3 linked regions of the Neodiprion lecontei genome follow. The protein of the gene in region 2 interacts with the protein of the main gene of each other region in a pairwise test. Links are inferred from orthologs where the notes say so. Each region holds a gene or a part of one and is shown on either strand. Other genes may lie near its edges. The genes, in order: guanine nucleotide-binding protein G(i) subunit alpha, G-protein-signaling modulator 2 and guanine nucleotide-binding protein G(o) subunit alpha.

Region 1 (6,803 bases), on a different chromosome or scaffold from region 2:
CAATGAATGAAGAAACATCGTTTTTTTACCATTTTTACACATTCGATTATTGCGGCGAAAATGATGACCATTGAATTAAATAATCAATTCGGAACAATATGTATTTATCACTATCGTGGCTAATCAATCGCAATCTAGATGAAATTTTTTTTGAAATAGCTGTGTTCAACATTATCAACGATTTAAAACAGATTACAATGTCGTTAAAATGAAATTTAAATTCGTTACGCAGACTAAAATAAATTACGCAATCGATTCGCGATATCCTTATTTAGTGTATAGAGACTGTATATCTCCGGAACAAATTCATACTGTTCATTTCCATTCAATTCAAGGTTACTCGCTCAAGAATTTCCATCATTGTCAATCTCTGTCGACCTAGTTTTCTACCCAGCTTTCCATACTGGATATTTTACTAAACTGCTCGAAGTAAAATAATTGACACATTCGAACGGCAGAGACTTGAGTTTTCCTTTCGATTGTTTCATTTTGATAAAAAAAAAAACTCAACCGATGCAGCAGTTCTAATTTCAGGTTTACTATAAATGTATTGCATAATAGAATCGGACGCTTCTTTCAATGTCATGTAACATAAGGAGACGCAAGGCTACAGAGCGATTGGAACTGGGACTAAAAAAAAAGTGTCTTGAGAAAAATCCGGTCCAACGAACGGAATAACTATGCATAAATGAATGACAACGTGCTCTGTTGTAACCCAAGATATACCTACAGACGCTTGCCAATTTGGTAAATTGCTATTTTGACGACAGAACAACGAGCATCCTTACACGGGACGCTGATTTTAATCCTGTCAATATAACGAGTGCAAAATTATTGTAATAGGTTGCCGTCATTAAAGTTCTGTGCTGCGTTTTAAATATTGATACAATCACGAGAATTTGTACGTATTAACCGCCACAAAAAGCAGGTTTATGAATATGGAATACAACATTCTACGGACTATTTTAATGTTGAAACTTAAAATAACTTCAGTATGAATGCGAGTTTTTTTTTTAATATTTGTAATTGAATACAAGACATAACTCATCATTTTATGATTAATGACACCGCTATTTGAATTTTATGCACTTTTATACGGTGTCAGTTTGCACCAGGAATGTAAGTTTTTCAGCCCGCTAGATAGATTGCTCGTGGGACTGATGGGTGAACTGTAATACTGACATTTCGTGAAAAATATAAAATGCAATTTTCTAAATGTATTTAAAAGTAAATCAAATCGTTTCAATTCATTGACATTTTTTCATCTTTGAATAAAGAAATTTTATTCTTTGTCTCGAGTAATTTCCTCATTAAACAGAGGTATCTTTTCAACGTTTAATTAACGCGATGATGAAAGAACGTGGCATTCCAATTGGCTACCCACCGTGTAGCTTCACTTTCATGAAGCGACTACGCGCATGACTGTACTTTTTTAAATAGATAAACAAGAACTCGAAATTAACGGTAATACACAATTGTAATGCAACTGGCCACCGTTCTTCAACGAATGGTAAACTTTTGAAAACAATTTCGGAGCGAAACTAATTGGTAGCACTAAAAACTCTCTAGTACAGAGGCAGAGCTAGTCACGAACTCGGTTGTGCAAAAGAGATAAAGGATTGTTGACAAGACTGGGAATAAATTTCGGAACGCAACCTTAGGCAAGAAAAAAGATCTTAAAACAAATAGACGTGGAGGAAGCCTGGTATACCCTTTCGTGTAAGTGGAAAACGGCATGGAGAGGGTAGTGGTAAGACTAGTTCCCTTCTTTGTCTAACGCAGTTATAGAGAGATAGTAGAGAGAGAGAGTATCTGGTCTTAGTACGTCCCTCTCTCTCTACGGCTCGACACTCTCTCGGCATGATAAAACGGGTGCTGATTATATAAATGTCCGCCACGCGTTAAAATAGCGCTAGAATCGTTGAGTACAAAATGTCGAGTTGGTAACCCGTCTAGATCTTTCTTACACATCCAATGCTTGTCGAGTCTAAAATGGAGCGCGTCGGCGCATAGTTGCGTGATAAGTCATTGGTGTGGGCGCGTCAAATGTTTTAAACATAAAGTCGAGCAGCAGACCCGTGTAGTATTCGTGTTAAATAATGAACAATAATTTGTGGAATAAAAGAGGCGAGGGGGTGGACGGTGAGCTGTAATAGATGTTTATTGGGGAATCGGTAAACCCGGACTGCGACCAAGCCGTCGTATGTGCGGATATACGTGTGTAATAGGAGTTCGGTCGGTACTTGGGGCCTCCGTCTTCTGTCGTTGGCTGCACTCGGTGCACGGGGCGGGCGGTTCCCACACGCAATACAAGGCGAAGCAACAAGTGTCACCCGGAGTTTGATTCGACCGATATACGATTTGCGGCGCCGATCTTATCCTGGCCGATTTCACGCAGACCTTACTTCTGCCAGGCGTTCCAGTCACTCGAAACGAGGACTATTTGAACGATTTATTGAACGTGATATAGCAAAGAATCGAAAAATGGGATGCGCCGTTAGCACTACCGGCGACAAGGAGGCTGCCGAGAGGTCTAAGAAAATTGACAAAGATCTCAGAATGGATGGCGAACGCGCTGCCAGCGAGGTCAAACTCCTGCTTCTTGGTAAATTATCATCTAAACACAAAATAACGATGTGTTGAACTAAATTTTATGCAAGTTTCTCTTCGTTCCGCGGCTCGTCGCTATCGCGTCCGAGACCCGTTCATCGTTTTTTCCGTCGTTCCGCGATTCGCGGACATGAAAAAACAAAAGAGAAACGAAACAAAAACGGACGAACTGTGCGTAAATACTGCTTGTTTTCGCACGCTTAATTTTTACACATCCCGTGCAAATTGCTAACGTGTTACCATTTACTTTTTGTTTCTTCTCGGTTTGTTTGATAGCGTTTTATCTCTCCTCGTTTACTGAGAACGGGACTAACGCGACCATGTTCTCTTAATTGAAATGGTAAAAACAGCCAATTAACGTATGATTCAATGGTATAATTAAGGCCGCGATGAATCCGGCCGTCAAAACGATGCGAAAAATTATTCTTTCATCTTTGTTTACCCCATTTCTTCTTATCGTAACTCGTCGTTCTTCTAAATTACCTTCTCTTACACTATATTGTCAAATTGAATTTACCAAAAATTATTATTATTATTAGAAATTGACCTAACTGAGGTTTTTTCACCACTGGTCATTACACAAATGGGTTTAGAACTTTTCTAATTTCTCTCATCTTATTTCTCATGGCAATGAGATGAGATAGCAAAAAACATCCTATCCTCCTTAATGCTACACAGGATATTGCAATGCATGTATCCACACAGCATGGTTGATTGTAGTAAAATAGCTGATTGATGTCTGCCTGTATACACATGGCTTCTCGTCACTAGATGATTCAGCTGAGGGAAGGGAACACTCATGGATTTCACAATTATTAAATTTCACTATTATCTTATCTCATGGAAAGCTGGTGGTGACATATTATTTCAATTATGAGCTGAGAAGAATTATGATTAATATGTTGAAATACCTGACGAATTATGTTTGCAACAAAAAAAAAAAAATTTTCAATGACCAAAACTTCAATTAATGTTCCTAAGCTACAAGAAACATGTGACAATTTTTTTTTCCCCCCGATCTATTTCAAGGTAATTTTTACAACAATTCATTTCATTTTTATTCCAAGGTGCTGGAGAGTCCGGAAAATCGACGATCGTTAAACAGATGAGAATCATTCATGAAACCGGGTACAGTAAAGAAGAATGCGAAGAGTATAAACCGGTTGTTTATAGCAATACTATACAGAGTCTGATGACAATTATCAGAGCCATGGGTCAGCTAAGAATTGATTTTGCAGACCCAAATAAGGTGGTGCGTAAATTTTTCGAAAGCAACATGTAAACGTGTTTTAATGACTGAAAGTTAATATTATTTTCCACTCCAATTTTCGTTAAATGAATTACTCTACTGTTAAAAATGATCAAAATTGTTCAAATTGCATCCCGGGATCTTTTATCTGATGAAAAATAAACTTTTGCTAATATTTATGGTATTCATGCATTAATAAATTCGTCACCTTCTAGGATATTGCTAGGCAATTTTTCACTCTAGCATCGGCAGCAGAGGAGGGTGACCTGACGGGAGAGCTAGTTTTATTAATGAAGAGATTATGGCAGGACGCAGGAGTACAACTTTGTTTCACACGTAGTAGAGAATATCAGCTCAATGATTCGGCGGCATATTACCTCAATGCTCTTGATCGCATTGCCCAACCCCATTACATACCGACACAACAGGATGTTCTCAGGACCAGAGTCAAAACGACAGGAATCGTTGAAACGGAGTTTTCGTTTAAAGGGATTGACTTCAAGTGAGTTCTTCAATCTTTCAAACATCATATTAATATCAATTTTTGTCTCTAGCACTGCCATGAATATGTCGCCACAGCCCAATATTGAATTATCTATGGTCAATCCAAGTTCTCGGGAATTACTTTCTTATTCTCTTTCCAGAATGTTTGATGTTGGTGGACAAAGATCAGAACGTAAAAAATGGATTCACTGCTTCGAGGGGGTAACAGCGATAATATTCTGCGTTGCACTGAGTGGTTACGATTTAGTCTTGGCCGAGGATGAGGAGATGAACAGGATGATAGAATCAATGAAGTTGTTCGATTCGATATGTAACAGTAAATGGTTTGTCGATACGTCGATAATTCTGTTTTTAAACAAGAAAGATCTGTTTGAGGATAAAATAACGAGGAGCCCTTTGACCATATGCTTTCCTGAATATAAAGGGCCGAATACATACGAAGATTGCGCATCATACATTCAAATGAAATTTGAAAACTTGAACAAAAGAAAAGACCGTAAAAAAATATACACGCACTTCACATGTGCGACTGACACCAATAACATTCAATTCGTATTTGATGCTGTGACTGATGTTATAATTAAGAACAACTTGAGTAACTGCGGCTTATTATTAAGCTGAACAATTTCAGAATCCGTCGATGATGCCGATTAAATCAAAACATTCTGAATCCGCGACACGTCTATAATTTTCACCTCTAATACTGGTTATTAATGGTTGATAAATCGAGGGCGTTCATCAGTTTGGAATGCTTTAAAAACTCGTGCGAATTGTCTGTCCGGATCAAAAATATAAATTTTTCACCAAATCTCATCAGGCATTTAGTTTTTAGACATTAGGTGTTTAATTAAAATCTTCATTCCTAGTACGCGATACTTAATCAAAATGAATCTAATTTAAATCATAATCCACGTTTGATAGAAAAAACTATTTTTTTTTTTTTTTTCGAAACGCACGTTTTTACCGCACAGAATCTCCGCGCAAAACTCGTCTTTATAGTTTATAGAAAATCATAGCATGGCACTTTTCTAATGTTTCTTTTTTTTATACTTTGTATATTAGAAGTAAATTAGCTTTATTGCGCATAATATACTCGATATATCGTTTTAATAACAAACTATAACACGGTCGTCTTTTGTCAGTTTCTGAACACCAATTTTTAATGTCTGGAATTATTAATCAAAAATTGATGAGATCGTAGGGTGCTTAAAAAGACTGTGTATTCAGTATTTCATTTTTTGTTTCTACTTTTAAATTGGAAGATTTCATTATTCTATTTCGGCCAAAAATAACACGACAGAGAGAAAGCGTCGTAAAACCCGAAACTTCTCGCGAAAATTTTAATAAAAATATTTAAACGTCATTGAAAAAATGTATAAAAGTTTTACTCAATTGAAAGAAAACTATGTTTCCTCAAATTGAATATAAAAACAAGCGATTTTAAACAACAATTTATCATTGTTTAACTGGAAATTGACAACGTGCCTTTTTTTCGCTTCATCGTACAAGTTTCTATGATTTTTTCGATGATGTTTGATGAAATTCATCGCCGTAAGCCAGATTGCAAGAAGATAAAACCAATATTAGACTAGATATATGAAACTTTTTTTAAACACCCTAGATGTATGTATGTCTTTTAAGTAGCTCCAGCAAATTTGGTTTTGTTCCGATCGTGTTGTAGTTTAAAAAATAGTCTGAAACAATCGTCTCTGTATATAATTTATTATAGTGGAAGAAGAAAGAAAAATGAAAGAAAATGTTGCAAAAAAAAAAAGAAAAAGAGAAAGAGAAAGAATCTACTGGAATCTCAAATCTAGTACCTAAAATCTCTAAAATGGACCAATTTGTGTGTTAGTTAATAATAATAACAATAATAATAATATCTGGTTTAATTCATGAATTCCAGTTTCGTCTATTATGAAAATAGATTTGTTTTCGAAGTATTTTTTTACGTGTACAGTTACGTGTATGTTTGTTTGTTCGTTTTTTTTTTGTTTCTCATGCAATAACAAAATATGTGTACTTCATAATTCACGGTAATAACAACAATAATCAATATTACTGTTGGACCTTTCTAGCTGTATATTCGCGTTGTCCGAGAAGTACGACATTCCATTCCATTCTATTTCATTTGCACGATCTGATTGTTGAACTACAGGCTACCAAGCAATCCCTTCATCTTTAATTTTCAAAACACTGGATACTGTTTTCATGAAATCAGATAAACCATATTTAAAATGTCATCTTGTCGATATTTTGCATGGGGTTTAGATTGACTATTTAACGTTGTTGGAAAGAGAAGTGAAATTGAACAACTTTTTTCTAGCAGCCCTATGCTTTTTTCATATTTTAATTACATAGCTTATGAACTAACGTCAAATTTTCGGAGCTTATAACGTTATTTGTAACACAATGTAATCGACCTGTAGACAAATACATA
Region 2 (7,797 bases):
ATCGTTTCGTCTATGCATAGTTCGCATTATGAATTTCATAGCTTTACAATAAAATTTAATCCATATTGGATACTATAACTTGGCTTGTTGAATGACAGCTAAACAGTTAACATGGAGAGTAAATTTCATCTGAAGGAAGAAACACACATTTGATTTACTCTCAAATTTAATTTCTTTGCCACTTAAGTTAGCGACAAGGCTGTAAATATTTTAATGACAACTATCTCTGAGTATATTTTTAGCAATAACAACAAACAGTAGATTGTGCGTCCTAATTATTAAAATATACATGCGTTGGAAAAACTACCTCATTCGAAAAAAAATTACGAAATACGAAAAAGGATTCTTTACTATATATTCTCTGTGAAGAATAAATTTAATCAGTACTTTGGAACGATTAATAATAAATGTAATATGGTATTTTATTTAGTGATCTTAGCACCGTCAAGACAACACTACGCTATCCGATGGGATTTGTCTATGAAGATAACTGATTACTGCAAATGTCTACTGTTTTGCATGTGCTTTCATCATGTAATATCCGGAGTGGCATCAAATGTTAGTTTGAATTTTATATAATGTTTCAAATCAATATAACGAAAAGTAATCGAAATTTAGTATAGTAATGAATTCGGAAAACTGCATTGAATGTACATAATACTACGTATGTACATACCACCAATTACAAGGGCGAATACATATTTTTACAATTAAGAAGCTGGATTTCTAGAGTTAGGCTGTTGAAGAAATTTGCTGACGCTCAAATGGGACAAAAAGAAAAAAAGAGACCTATTACAGACAAAACGTAGAAGTAATAAATTGATTAACTTACTTTTCATATTAATAATACTACTTTAACTATATTAGCTTTATGGCTTTCGGTTCATTCGATTCCTGCATTGGATATAGGTACATATCTAGTAGTACCTTTATTTTTTATGTTTGAATGATAATCCTTATGCACTACTCTTTTGGATTGTGAATGAGAAACAAAATATTCAAGATTCATTGTAACGGTGTTGAAAAAAGTCAACAAAACCGATCAGTATCCTACTCCACATTTTTCTAACGTTTTCTACATATATTTTACTGTTAATAGATTTTGTCGCAGCATTTATACAATTTTATACACATCTATCACAAAGATAATTGTAATCTCTTGTGCAGTACTCTGACTTACATCTCAGTATATGTCCGTTTATCCAAGAGTCTCATGATACTTTTTTGGCACGATTTCAATGATAAATAATCAATTATTAGGTGGTTTAAGAAATTTGATAGTGTCGTTTGATTTTGCTTTCCATAAAAGTATTATATTTGGTTCACGGCACTAGTTTACTAAATTTTCACCATAACCTTGTGACAAAATATCTCCTTTTGATGTAAATAACATGGAAGATATCAAAATGTTTCTTTTTAATGTGACAAACTGTGGTCAAAGAAGCAAAGTTGGGCAGAAAACAAACCATCCTATTTGAAGGGTCGAAATGCGATTTGGACAGGACACAGAGTTTTAATTAAACTTTAGGGAGCACCACACAATTGTAGGTAGAAGAAAAGTCACCCGATTGACTATTTTGTGAAAAGAGAGGAAATTAGCATGCGAGAACTTATAAAGAATCTATTGTACAAATTTTTATCGACCACCTAGCCATTGATTACATTGTAAATGTAACATTTTTGAACATATCATTTGTAATCACCATGAGTTGATTTTTACAAAATTCAAATGGTTACACCGAAAATTTGTAGTTACTCATGTTGATTATACAGTGGTGATACCTTTCCAAAATGTTATTTTTTCAAAGATTGCTTAGTATTAATTTATTATTATTTTCATCAAATAGTTGGTATACTTACTTACAGTTTTAATGGCCTTTTGCTGGTCCAGAAGCTCGTTGATCTTCCATGCGACCAGCCTGCAGTCTCTGAATTAGGGCAAACAGATCTTCTTCGGGTACGGTAGTTCTTGATGGGGTGTTTCCGTTTCTTCTTTGGTTTTGTTCCTCCTCTGCATCGTGTAATGTTGAAGCAGCTGGCAAAGGACTACGTTGATCCTCTAAACGTGAGCCTTGGCATCGCACCAGCATTTCAATAAATGAATCATCAGCTTCCTGCCCAATTGGCTGTGGGGGAGGCCTATTCGCTGACTGATTGTTCCTGTTTGTATTCAATCCTGGCAAGCAAGGCAGAGTTACACGCTGCTCATCCATTCGCTTACTTTGCATTCCAGCTATTAGCTCCAGTAAATCTTCTCCTTCTTTCTCTTTTTCTGGAGTCGCCACTCTTGGCCTGGGTCTCGGTTTTTGATTGGCATTTAGCACACAGCGCTGATCATCCATTCGACCTGATTGAAATCGTGATAGAAGTTCGAAGAAAGATTCTTCTTCTTCTTCTTGCGAAGGCTGTGGTGCGATTCCGGCTCTAGCAGGCAGAGGCTCACCCATATCTTTTTGCTTACCATCTGGAGTCAACTGGATAAAAATTTGGATAATGAATTACAATAACTTCAGATTGTATACATGATGGATAAAGGGAAAATTTATCAATTTTCAGTCAATAATACATGTTGATCAACGTCTTCGTTTTCTGAAATGTATAAGCATTGTAACATGAGCTGAATCTGAAGGTAGCCAATTTAAATCTTTTGCGACAATGGTTTTACTTGAGTTGAAGATGCTTTGCACAAAATTTGAAAATGCTAATGTTTAATAAGAGGTTTAACAGGAATTGTTAGGAAAGCTTGACGTGTGATGATTTTTAGAACGATATGTTTTCATGGTCTAAAAATATTATTCTGTTGTGACCTTTGTTTTCTGGTCACAAGAAGTAAAGTAACACAACCTATAGAGTTGGGCCATACATTTTTCCTGAACTGATCACCGGAAAAATAGTTAAATTGACTTACAATTAGCTATTCCATCCATACCGTCAATTACTCTAATTAACAAGGTTATTCGATATTTCTCAAAATTATAATAAAATGTTAAAATGAAAACTGATACTGTTCTTACTGAATAACTTTCTGTTATTCAATACTCAACTTTATGTTGCCTTATAGATTCTATGCATAATGAATGGAACAACAAGATAGGACAAGATTGGAGAAAAAATGATATTTGTGAAATGTGTGCAAAGAAAAATTTTCATAAAAAAATTTCCTTGATATTGCCTTGCAAAGAAAAATCACTGGGGTTTTTCGACAGTTATTTTCTATATTACCAGACTCTTCGAACGTTGTATTGTTTACTGAAAATTGGTAGTTTTACTTCTATCTGGTTATTCTACATATTAATACACAATAATCTTTGTTCAAAGAAGAAAGTATTACCGGTTCCATGGTCCTTGTAAATAACTATATGCAAGGAAATACCGAATAATTACAATAAATTCGGTTATTTTAGAACTATTTGCAGTCTAGAGATGCATTGAACAAAAACATTCTATCGCTCACCTTGATCAGATCCAGATTGTCCATGCTCTGTCTTCTCAACCTGTATCTACCTGGCGAAGAAGCCGCTATAGCCGAGGCTTTGCTCGTTGGGATTAAATGCATTCCGTTTCCACTCTCCGCTTCTCCGTCCCCTTTTTCTAAGCCTAAAAGTTTCTTCAGATCGGTAACGTTCATCTGAGCGGTAGCTTGACCCATTGGATCGTTCAACTCTTTAGAAATATTCAAATGTAGGCTGGCAAAGTGCAACGCTTTCTCATGGTTACCCATTGCTGAGTAAGCATTTCCCAACGACCAACAGGCTCGACCTTCTCCAACTCGATCCATCAGCTGTTGCGCAATGGAAAGATGACGGAGATGGTAGTCTACAGCAGCTTGGTAATCGCGGAGGAGCGTGTAGGTATTGCCAAGGGAATAACACGCTTGTGCTTCTACCGCTCGGTCACGCAATTCTTGAGCAAGGACCAGCGTACGTCTGTGAACAAATTTTGAATTTTAATTATTTTAACATGTAACGAAGTAACGCACCTTGAGAAATTTTGTACAGTTCAATAGCAGTTTCTCTGAAAATGGATCAGGAGTTATCAACCTGTGGTATAACAAAATTTCAAAGTTCTTCGGCTTCAACCCGCTGATAACTTACTTGTAATGTTGAGCTGCTTTTTCAAATTCTCCGAGAAATATATGCGAGTTCCCCAAATTGCTGTTGGCTCGTCTTTCCGCAGCTTTATCACCAAACTCTCGTGCAATTTTTAATCTTTCATTGTGGTAATGAATTGCTTGTTGAAAATCACCCAGCAAGTAAAATGTGTTTCCCAAGTTTCCACATGCTCTCCCTTGTGCAGCTGTATCGCTCAACTCTCTCATCAGCTTCAAATTTTCTCTAGGAAATCACAATTGTTCAATCAGGTAATTGGATACTAAAATGTTGCCACTACTGCAACGCATTCATTTCAGAGCAAAAAATATTAAAAAGCCGCGGTATCCAGTACGTATATAATATTACTGAATTTGAAGACAAGCTATTCTATAGATGTAAAAGTAACATACTCGTAGTAATGAACAGCTTCCTGAAGACACTGTCTGACATCCTCAGGAAATTCTCCTGGATCTTGCTGTCCGACTCTGCCAATTTGTTTACCCTTGGCGTGATAAACATTTCCGAGATTGTAAAGAGCTCGACCTTCGCTGAGCTGATGCATAAAAAATGCTTGATTAAAAATGAGAATGCATGAGGAAGGAAGAGCGGAACAGAGGTGAATAAAAAATCTTACCTTATCGCCTAGTTCCCTCGATATTTCTAAATGCCTTTTACAGCATATCGTAGCTTCGTCAAACTTTCCCATAACTTTCAGAGTATTTCCAAGATTTCCGCTCGATTTAGCTTCCCCTAATTTATCTCCCATAGTTCTTGCCAATGTTAAATCATGGTTGTGATACTGCATTGCTTTGACGTAATCGCCAAGATAAAAGTAAGCATTTCCAAGTTGGCTGTAGATCGCGCTCAACGTTCTTAGGTCGTCCGTTCCAGCCTGTATTGCTGCTTGAAAAAATGCAACACCTGTGCGGCAATCGCCCTCCTTGCAAAGACGCTCGCCTTCAAGGGCCAATTCCAAACACATGTTGCTATCTCCCCCGCTATTCTGTAAAGGACAAACTCGTTTTATGTTTTTACATAGTTTAGCCAATTAATTAATGTTGGTAAAGTATTAAAAGCAACGATTAAACGCGAGTTACAAGGTATTCTTCTGCATTTACTCTATTTTTACCAATTTATTGAGGATATAGAGTATATGGCAATTTTGCTTCACTTGAAATTGTTTAGTAGAACAGCAATATTGTTCCTGTAAATCTCATAATCCAGCTTATTGTAACGAACATAAATAGGGTATCGTTCTCTAATTGAAAATCAAATTGTTACGTAAGTCAAATTGGGGTTCAGAGTTATTTTGACTAGAATAATGTAACGAGACGCATGATGAGGGAGATTAAGTTTAGTTACCGTTAATAACAAGTGAATAAACAAAAAAAAATAGTAAAGTACTTGATTATATTAATTTTTTGCAGGAATAAGAGGTGAAGTTTAATTTTCATTTTGAGAAAAATGCAAAATGTAAGAGGATTAGGAAGGCAGTGTATCCTATGACAAGTGGGAAAGAATTCTCTGTGAACAGCATAATAAATGCCCATATGACTCAGTGCACGTAGGTAAGGCTCATATATATATATATATATACTGAAGAATTTAAGTGACAAGTGACAAATAATGAGGTAGAAAAGGACATGTGATTCACTTACTTGACCGTCTACTGAAAGATTTTCCGCGCTCGCACTGTGCGACATTTTCATTGGTCGAGTACTAGCAGGTTATAAGGATTTTTGAAGGTAAGAATAAACAATTTGTTATCTGGCGACGAATTGTTAAGTGTAATTTGACGTGAGCTAAGCTTTACGTGTACGAGGCACTCCCCTTCGTCAATAGATCGTCAATTAGAAAGGTCGAATCAATACAGTTTAGCATTTTTTTTGGAAATTATCTATTAGTTGTTGCGGTAAATAAAAATTATTTATTGTTATACCAACACTCTCACTTGTTTACGGCAAATTCACACGGATATCAACGCGTCACCCTAACCGCGCATCGACACTATGGCGCGTTTGCGACTTCGCGTACAATTTCCTATTCAATTTAGTTTGGGGGGTTTGGGGCCGGCTTGTAGTACGCATCACTGTAACCAGACGGCTCTGAATGCAAACGGTCGTATTCGTGGTGTTCACGTTGTATACAGGGGTGCGTTCCGAAATTGGGTGGCAGCGCTAACAGTTCCCTAGGACAAAGGCAGAGCTACTGATGAACTCGACAATGCAAAAAAAATAAAATATTGTTAACAGCAATGGAAGGTAATATCGGAACGCACCCTGAGTCTCGTATGCAATGCACTGACTGAATTACAGGTTGTGTTCCGAAATTGGCTCCAAGTGTTAATCATCTTTTATCGCTTTTGCGCTTTCGCGTTGGGGAGTAGCTCTGTCCTTGTCCTAGGGAGTTCTTAGCACTGCCACCTAGTTTCTGAACGCACCCTTAATATAAACTATTTGAGGTTCAGAAATGATGTTTCACGTCGAACAGCAAAAACATATTATAATTCACTAAGTTTACCCATCCTTCCTGCACTTTTAGTGTGTTTAACTTGTACAGTTTAATAATTTTGTTTAATTTTATTAAAGCATCATGCGCCGTTTATACAATGTACAGATTATTAGTGGTGTGCATAAGCATGGTACAAATTATACATATAATCAACGCATAATGTGTGAAACGATCGTACGTAAACGTAGTAACTCTCTAGTAGTAAGCGCTTTTCACTGGTTGCACACGGAGCGCAACGACCACGGTTGTATAATCGTCGCAACAACTGCGCTTTCTCTAGTTTTTAACCAATAGCAGAAGAAAAATTCTAGAAAAATCGCACTCAGTATGCATAGGATGTAAGATCTGACTGGAATGACCATATCCATGCTTATTGCTTATGATTATTCCATACTAGTGCTAGCTAACCCAACTCTAAAAAGATCCGAATCCTGCAACGGTAATCGAAGTTTAAACTAAGTTCAGCCTAGCTCCAAGCCTTACAGAAGAAATTGAACGCCGTTCAAACTGTATCGGAGAAAATGGGCGTGAGTGTCAGCATTTTTTAATCAGAAGATTCACATAACTGTTGGAAATATCACAAGATGGAATAAAACTAACGAACATCCCCCTTTCGTCGTGACTCTACTATTTATTTAATACTGATTATACTGAGGTTTATATTTCAGTTGTCTGCCAAAGACTCCATTTTTTTATCCATTTCTTCATCGCTGTTACAAAAATATCTTTGAAAAAGATAACATAAGTACGAATAATGAATAAAATTTGGATGTTATGGCATTTGAGCCGTTTGATAGGACAGTTAAGGTCTTTGGAGTTTCTTTTAAGGTAGCCCAAAATTTCATTCGCTCCTCAAAGAAAGAATGCTGAACTTTGAGCGAAACTTCAGATCCGTTTCCTATTTGAAGATAGTTTCTCTCTACAGCCGAAAATGGTTTCCATATTGTGCCGTTTGAAGCCAAAGTCGTCGGTGTTCTGAAAAATCAATTCTTTAACACACTTTGCCAATTAAATTAGTGAAATAATAGCAATTTACTGATTAGTAACGGTTTACCCATTGGTTGCAAAGGAGGTCCACAACTGAACCATGATGTCTACGATTTCCAAATCTCTTCTGGTCGTGGTTTTGTTCAAATTTAGTCTGGCAAACTGCGGTTCAGGTGCAAAGATGTAAAAGGTTTCGTCACCGTGAGCT
Region 3 (4,967 bases), on a different chromosome or scaffold from region 2:
TACAGTCGAATTTAATTCTTCCTTATTTTCGACTCCCATCTTACTACGTATAACATATACATATGTACGTAGGTATAATCCTCACCGCACGTATTATACCGCATTATATACCTACATCGCTGCGGAAGAGATGCGTTAATTTAAATTTGACCCGAAATTTCCGGACTTCAGAGACCGTTATACACGTATCTTGCCCCGCTTCGTTAAATACTGTACATACATGCACGTAACATGTGTGCATTTGAAATTTATCTACCTCGTACGTTGCTTTCGTTTCTTTTGGTTTTTTTCTAACCGCTTAACAATTATTCAAGACTCGTTACGCGAACGTCAGCGATTCTCTTGTAAGAACGCGAGATACGATTCTCGCAGTTGATAACACACATGCCATTAAATTCACGAGGATGAACCCTAGCATCCAGAATCCACAGCGAAACGTTCTAATGTTCATTCGAATAAGGTAGCGAAGACCGATAGTCAAAATTTCGTGAAAAAACCTTGAACCTCCGATACTTTTATAGAATTAAGAGGATGAAACTAAAATGCATTTTTCCATTTCCAAAAAGTTTAACTCTGGCTGCTAGCTTCAGCTTCTTCTTGAATAAATCGTGAATGAAACAATCCATTTCGAACGGAATCTAATCGATAATAACGAGATTCTAATCGAAATCAAACTCGAGTTAAATTTTCTTTCGTGCTCCCTAACGTGCCTTATTATTGTAATTAATATACCTACGTAAAAAGAAAGGCGTGACGAAAGTAGCAGGAAAAAAAAGTCGTCGAAAGAACACGCAACGTCGGGCATGCAGCAGCTTGAACGAGGAACAATTCGTTTTTCACGAAGTTAAAAAATCGACCGCCGAGGTTTTCCTTCATTACACATTTGAATCTCGGAGGCGGCGTACAACAACGGTACGAAACGTATATACATACTTGTGTCGGACATGTACGCACGGGGGTGGGTATTTATTTTAAGAAATATGAGCGTGTATGTAGCAGCGAACTCGAAAGCTGCCGCAGAGGCGGACCCGATCTCCGGATTCTCCGGCAGGCACTTATTCATCATGCTTCATTGGTGGGGGTCGCCGGCTGCCGATGGATACAGCAGTGAAAAGCAGCGGCAACTCTGCGAAGAGCGAACCAGCAAACTAGCGATTCTCCGTTTCGTTCCCGGTCCTGAACGACGAGAGCGGGGCACCGCGGTAAAAATCCCGTTTTAATCTACACCGTATCTATCTACTATCTACCGCAAATAATTACGCACCGACTACGCGGCGCCGCGTCGACGTCCTTTCATTGTCGGTTTTCCTCTACTTGTTCGCGCGAATCCGCAGATCGAATACAAAATTGTTAACGAGGATGTAACCGCGTTGCGCGACATCTACATCTTCACAATAAACTGCATGCTCTGTTCTTATGCATCGTATTACAGATCTATGCAACCTATGCTCTTCGAATAGTTATTTTCAAATTTGAATTTCGAACGTTCGACCGCGGCTTGCTTCGAGCCAAACGTCAACAGCAGACGATCGTTCTCGCGCTTCGTTCGCTCAACGACGATTACGATTCGCTACGCTTTTCGAATACTTGTTTCCAAATTTGAATTTCGAACGTTCGACCGCGGCTAGCTTCGAGCGGAACAGCAACAGCAGACGATCCTCCTCGCGCTTCATTCGCTCAACGACAATACTGGTTCGCCGAAATATCGCCCCGAAATTCACACTGGGTCTGCTCGGAGCACGTGAAGGCGTGCACATCGAAGGTACCTGCGAGCTATTGACTCCGAGTCCCGAGCGGGCGCGAACGGGAAACGAGACGCGGGGACGGAAAGACGGTGATAAGCCGACATCGCGAGGGATCGAGCAGCGGCGGTGGCACTGCACGCACCCTCCTACGCACGCCACCAGCGAAGCGGCGGCCGCAAAGCAATTGACTCGCCTCTCTCCCCCGTCCGAGGAGCGGAACGCCGCCCGCGTTTGATTGGAGTGCCATATTCGAGCCTAGGGAGTCGGCGGCGGTTGTTTCCCTTATTTTTTCATTTTCATTTTCTCTCTCTCTCTCGCTCTCTCCCTCTGTCTCTTTCCCTCTCTCTCTCTACCCTTTTCGTCATCACTTACTTTCGAAGCCACCCCGCGAACTCGGAGACCGATGAAACGGCTTCCTCCTCGCACGTCTCCTGCTTCCTATGTCCAAGGGTGGTTAAACCGCGCCGTTGCAGCACCGCGGAACTCGGACATTCATACACCCTGGACTTTCGACTCCGTCGGATCGCCTGGCTGCCTCTGCCTTTAATCGTATCACACTGCCTTTGCGGGTCGTTAACTCCCTGCTTTATTCTCGAATGATGGATTTTGAATTTCGATTATTATCCCCGTAACGATGCGTTCTCGCTTGTATTGTACCGTTTTTTTTTTTTTTTTTTGCCGATAATTATATCACCGTGATATCGCGACGAGAGAATTATTGGGGATTTTTTTTCGCGCACTCCCGGTCACTTGTATTTTCCGATACTATGTATTTGATCGATAATTTGAGAATCGTAAGCCCCGGCACAGCCCCGTCTCTCAGGAGGTGGGTTGGTACTTTTTACACAATCCAAACGGGGGGTATACGCTCTGCCGTTTCTCCTTACGCGTTTTTTGAAAAAAAAATTTTTATTTTTTTTATATGTATATATATACTCTGAATCGTTCACCGGCGACGCGCGGTCACTTCTATTTTTCTTCCAAAACTACGAGTTGATATCACTTCTCCCTCTGGCTCTCTATTCTCTCTGGATCTACTCCGCCACCTCTTCGCCGTTTGATTGATGCATAAACACTCCCGAATACTCTTCCGTTTATATATCGTCCCGCGCGATTCGTCCACCTTTCTTAGGTGCCTTCTTCGCTTTCTAACAGCGAAATCGAGCTACGCCCGGGCTGTGCCTTCGTCGTGACTCTAGCTCTCCTCCCCCTGCGGGAACGCGATACAAATTTTTCTAAAACCGATCGAAAAACGTCTTTTGACAGCGGCAGGCTGGACGCGTACTGGCAGCTACCTCGACGCCAGCGACCTCTCGCCCCGCCCGAACCTTCGCTCGCTGCTGGGGACGAGCCGGCCGCCCGATCAATCCCACGCACCAGCCCACGGGCCCCGCGTCTAGGCAGAGGACCGAGATCCTGTTTGCTGGAGATTCAAACTACAGCCTGGCGACATCTGGCGTCGCTTGCCCGAACCAACGGTCGCCACTTCGCTCGGCCGGTAACGACGAGAGTTACGGTACTGAAATACTGCCGGAAAGATAGGACGCGAAGATTTGAAACGGGGCGGGGGGAAGGCTGACTGCTGGAATTTTTAAGACTTTTGATTGCTTGCTTTCAAATTATATCCGTCTTGGCAGACGAGTAAAGTATTAGTTGGTATGCTTCTTCGAAGGAAAACAAAATTTGCGTTATTTTTAAATAACGCAATAAAAAATATCGTTGTTCAACGAAACGTGTCACGAATTGTCTTCTTTTGCAACTTGATTATGGAGGCTGTATGCATACATCTCAAATCCTAAATTGCTGTGAGGGATATACGTGGTAGAACGAAACGATTCACGTTTGGCAAAATGCCAATATTCATTCACAAAGTTGAAACTCATTGTCGAGAATTATTCAAATATTCAGTCTTAACGGTGAATATATAGACATATATATATATACGTATGTACACCACAGTATCCGGTGATAGTTTGTTTTTGTGTGTATACTATCGCTTCTTGGCATGACATCGTGATGTATTTCTTATTTTATTCTATCATTAATTACTTAAATTTCTTATTTCTTTCGCGGCTGAATACGAGAACTTTTTACTGCGTTCAATGAACGTGTAATAATGCAACGACGATCCCGAATCTTAGTTATGTACAAAAGAAAAACCTGCGACTTATCTCGTTGTAAACTGATCAAATTTACAGTTCAATAAAACCTGAATTTAATTATTCATTCATTTATTTCCGTTTACACACGGGTAAAAATTATGCCACGATATAATAATGTATCAACCTATTAAAATTCTACATGTATGCCGTGCATGTGATATTCTGCCTGACAGACCTTGATCAACACTTGCTATTTTGCACGAACGTACTTAATCTCCTCCACCTCCGCCTCCTCCTTCTCCTCTTCCTCCACTTCCTTCTTCTCGCCGAACTTTTGTAACGTACAACGTGTGTGTGTGTGTGTGTGAGTATAAATAGCAAGATCTTTTATACAATTGCCTAATAAATAATAGTTGGCGTATCAAAGTAACGACCGCTTGCAGTATAAAGATCGTATATGTGTAAAGTTTGGATTCAAAATGAAAAGAATATTGGAAGCTGCACGGTTTGATCAAGGCTGTATAATTCGAATTGTAGATGGTAAATAAGAGAGAGAAATAGAAAAATACGAAATACAAAATTATCAAGCCTAAAGTAACGCCAGTGAATATGTGAAATTACGGATGCGGAGATAATTGAAACAGAGTTTCATAGTTTTTACATAATAATTTGATTATCGCAGACTCATGTACTGTATACGTATAATATATTTATGAATTTTTGTATGCATAGGCGAATCAGTATATGTATAGAATATATATATATGTATATATTATTGCAATATATGCGCTTTTTTCCACTGTACTTTATTGAAAATAATATATATATATTTATTATTAATATTTATATATATATATTATTTATTATGTATCTATGTATATATTTTGGTTATTATCAAACAACACATGACATTCCTGATATCATATTTACATCGAGTGTCTATTACAATTACTCAGTTTAATGTATTATCATATCGTACAATAGATATTATTACATAGTTATAGGTCATTTAAAAATTTGTGAAATATGTTAAAAGTGCCCAACTCTACATGTCGTATAAGGTGTGTATATATATATATATATATATATATATATATATATTATATATTATATATAGTAT

The links.
Region 1: the proteins of G-protein-signaling modulator 2 (region 2) and guanine nucleotide-binding protein G(i) subunit alpha interact in a two-hybrid assay, tested with the Drosophila melanogaster proteins (2 studies listed by BioGRID). The link is inferred for Neodiprion lecontei from reciprocal best matches to the Drosophila melanogaster genes pins and Galphai.
Region 3: the proteins of G-protein-signaling modulator 2 (region 2) and guanine nucleotide-binding protein G(o) subunit alpha interact in a two-hybrid assay, tested with the Drosophila melanogaster proteins (3 studies listed by BioGRID, with this or other methods). The link is inferred for Neodiprion lecontei from reciprocal best matches to the Drosophila melanogaster genes pins and Galphao.

Annotation. Positions count from the first base shown.
Region 1 is NC_060264.1:31,887,204-31,894,006, reverse strand, and holds guanine nucleotide-binding protein G(i) subunit alpha, read left to right. Parts: upstream 1-1,988; 5' UTR 1,989-2,484; coding exon 2,485-2,605; intron 2,606-3,677; coding exon 3,678-3,862; intron 3,863-4,074; coding exon 4,075-4,361; intron 4,362-4,503; coding exon 4,504-4,984; 3' UTR 4,985-6,203; downstream 6,204-6,803. UniProt on the Drosophila melanogaster protein: Guanine nucleotide-binding proteins (G proteins) are involved as modulators or transducers in various transmembrane signaling systems.
Region 2 is NC_060266.1:5,769,345-5,777,141, forward strand, and holds the start of G-protein-signaling modulator 2, read right to left. Parts: upstream 6,124-7,797; 5' UTR 5,801-6,123; coding exon 5,750-5,800; intron 5,095-5,749; coding exon 4,726-5,094; intron 4,645-4,725; coding exon 4,502-4,644; intron 4,335-4,501; coding exon 4,095-4,334; intron 3,927-4,094; coding exon 3,455-3,926; intron 3,356-3,454; coding exon 3,332-3,355; intron 2,475-3,331; coding exon 1,869-2,474; 3' UTR 1-1,868. Other genes in the region: esterase E4-like, read right to left, coding at 7,316-7,577, 7,657-7,797.
Region 3 is NC_060260.1:39,891,607-39,896,573, forward strand, and holds the start of guanine nucleotide-binding protein G(o) subunit alpha, read right to left. Parts: upstream 3,085-4,967; 5' UTR 2,118-3,084; intron 1-2,117. UniProt on the Drosophila melanogaster protein: Guanine nucleotide-binding proteins (G proteins) are involved as modulators or transducers in various transmembrane signaling systems.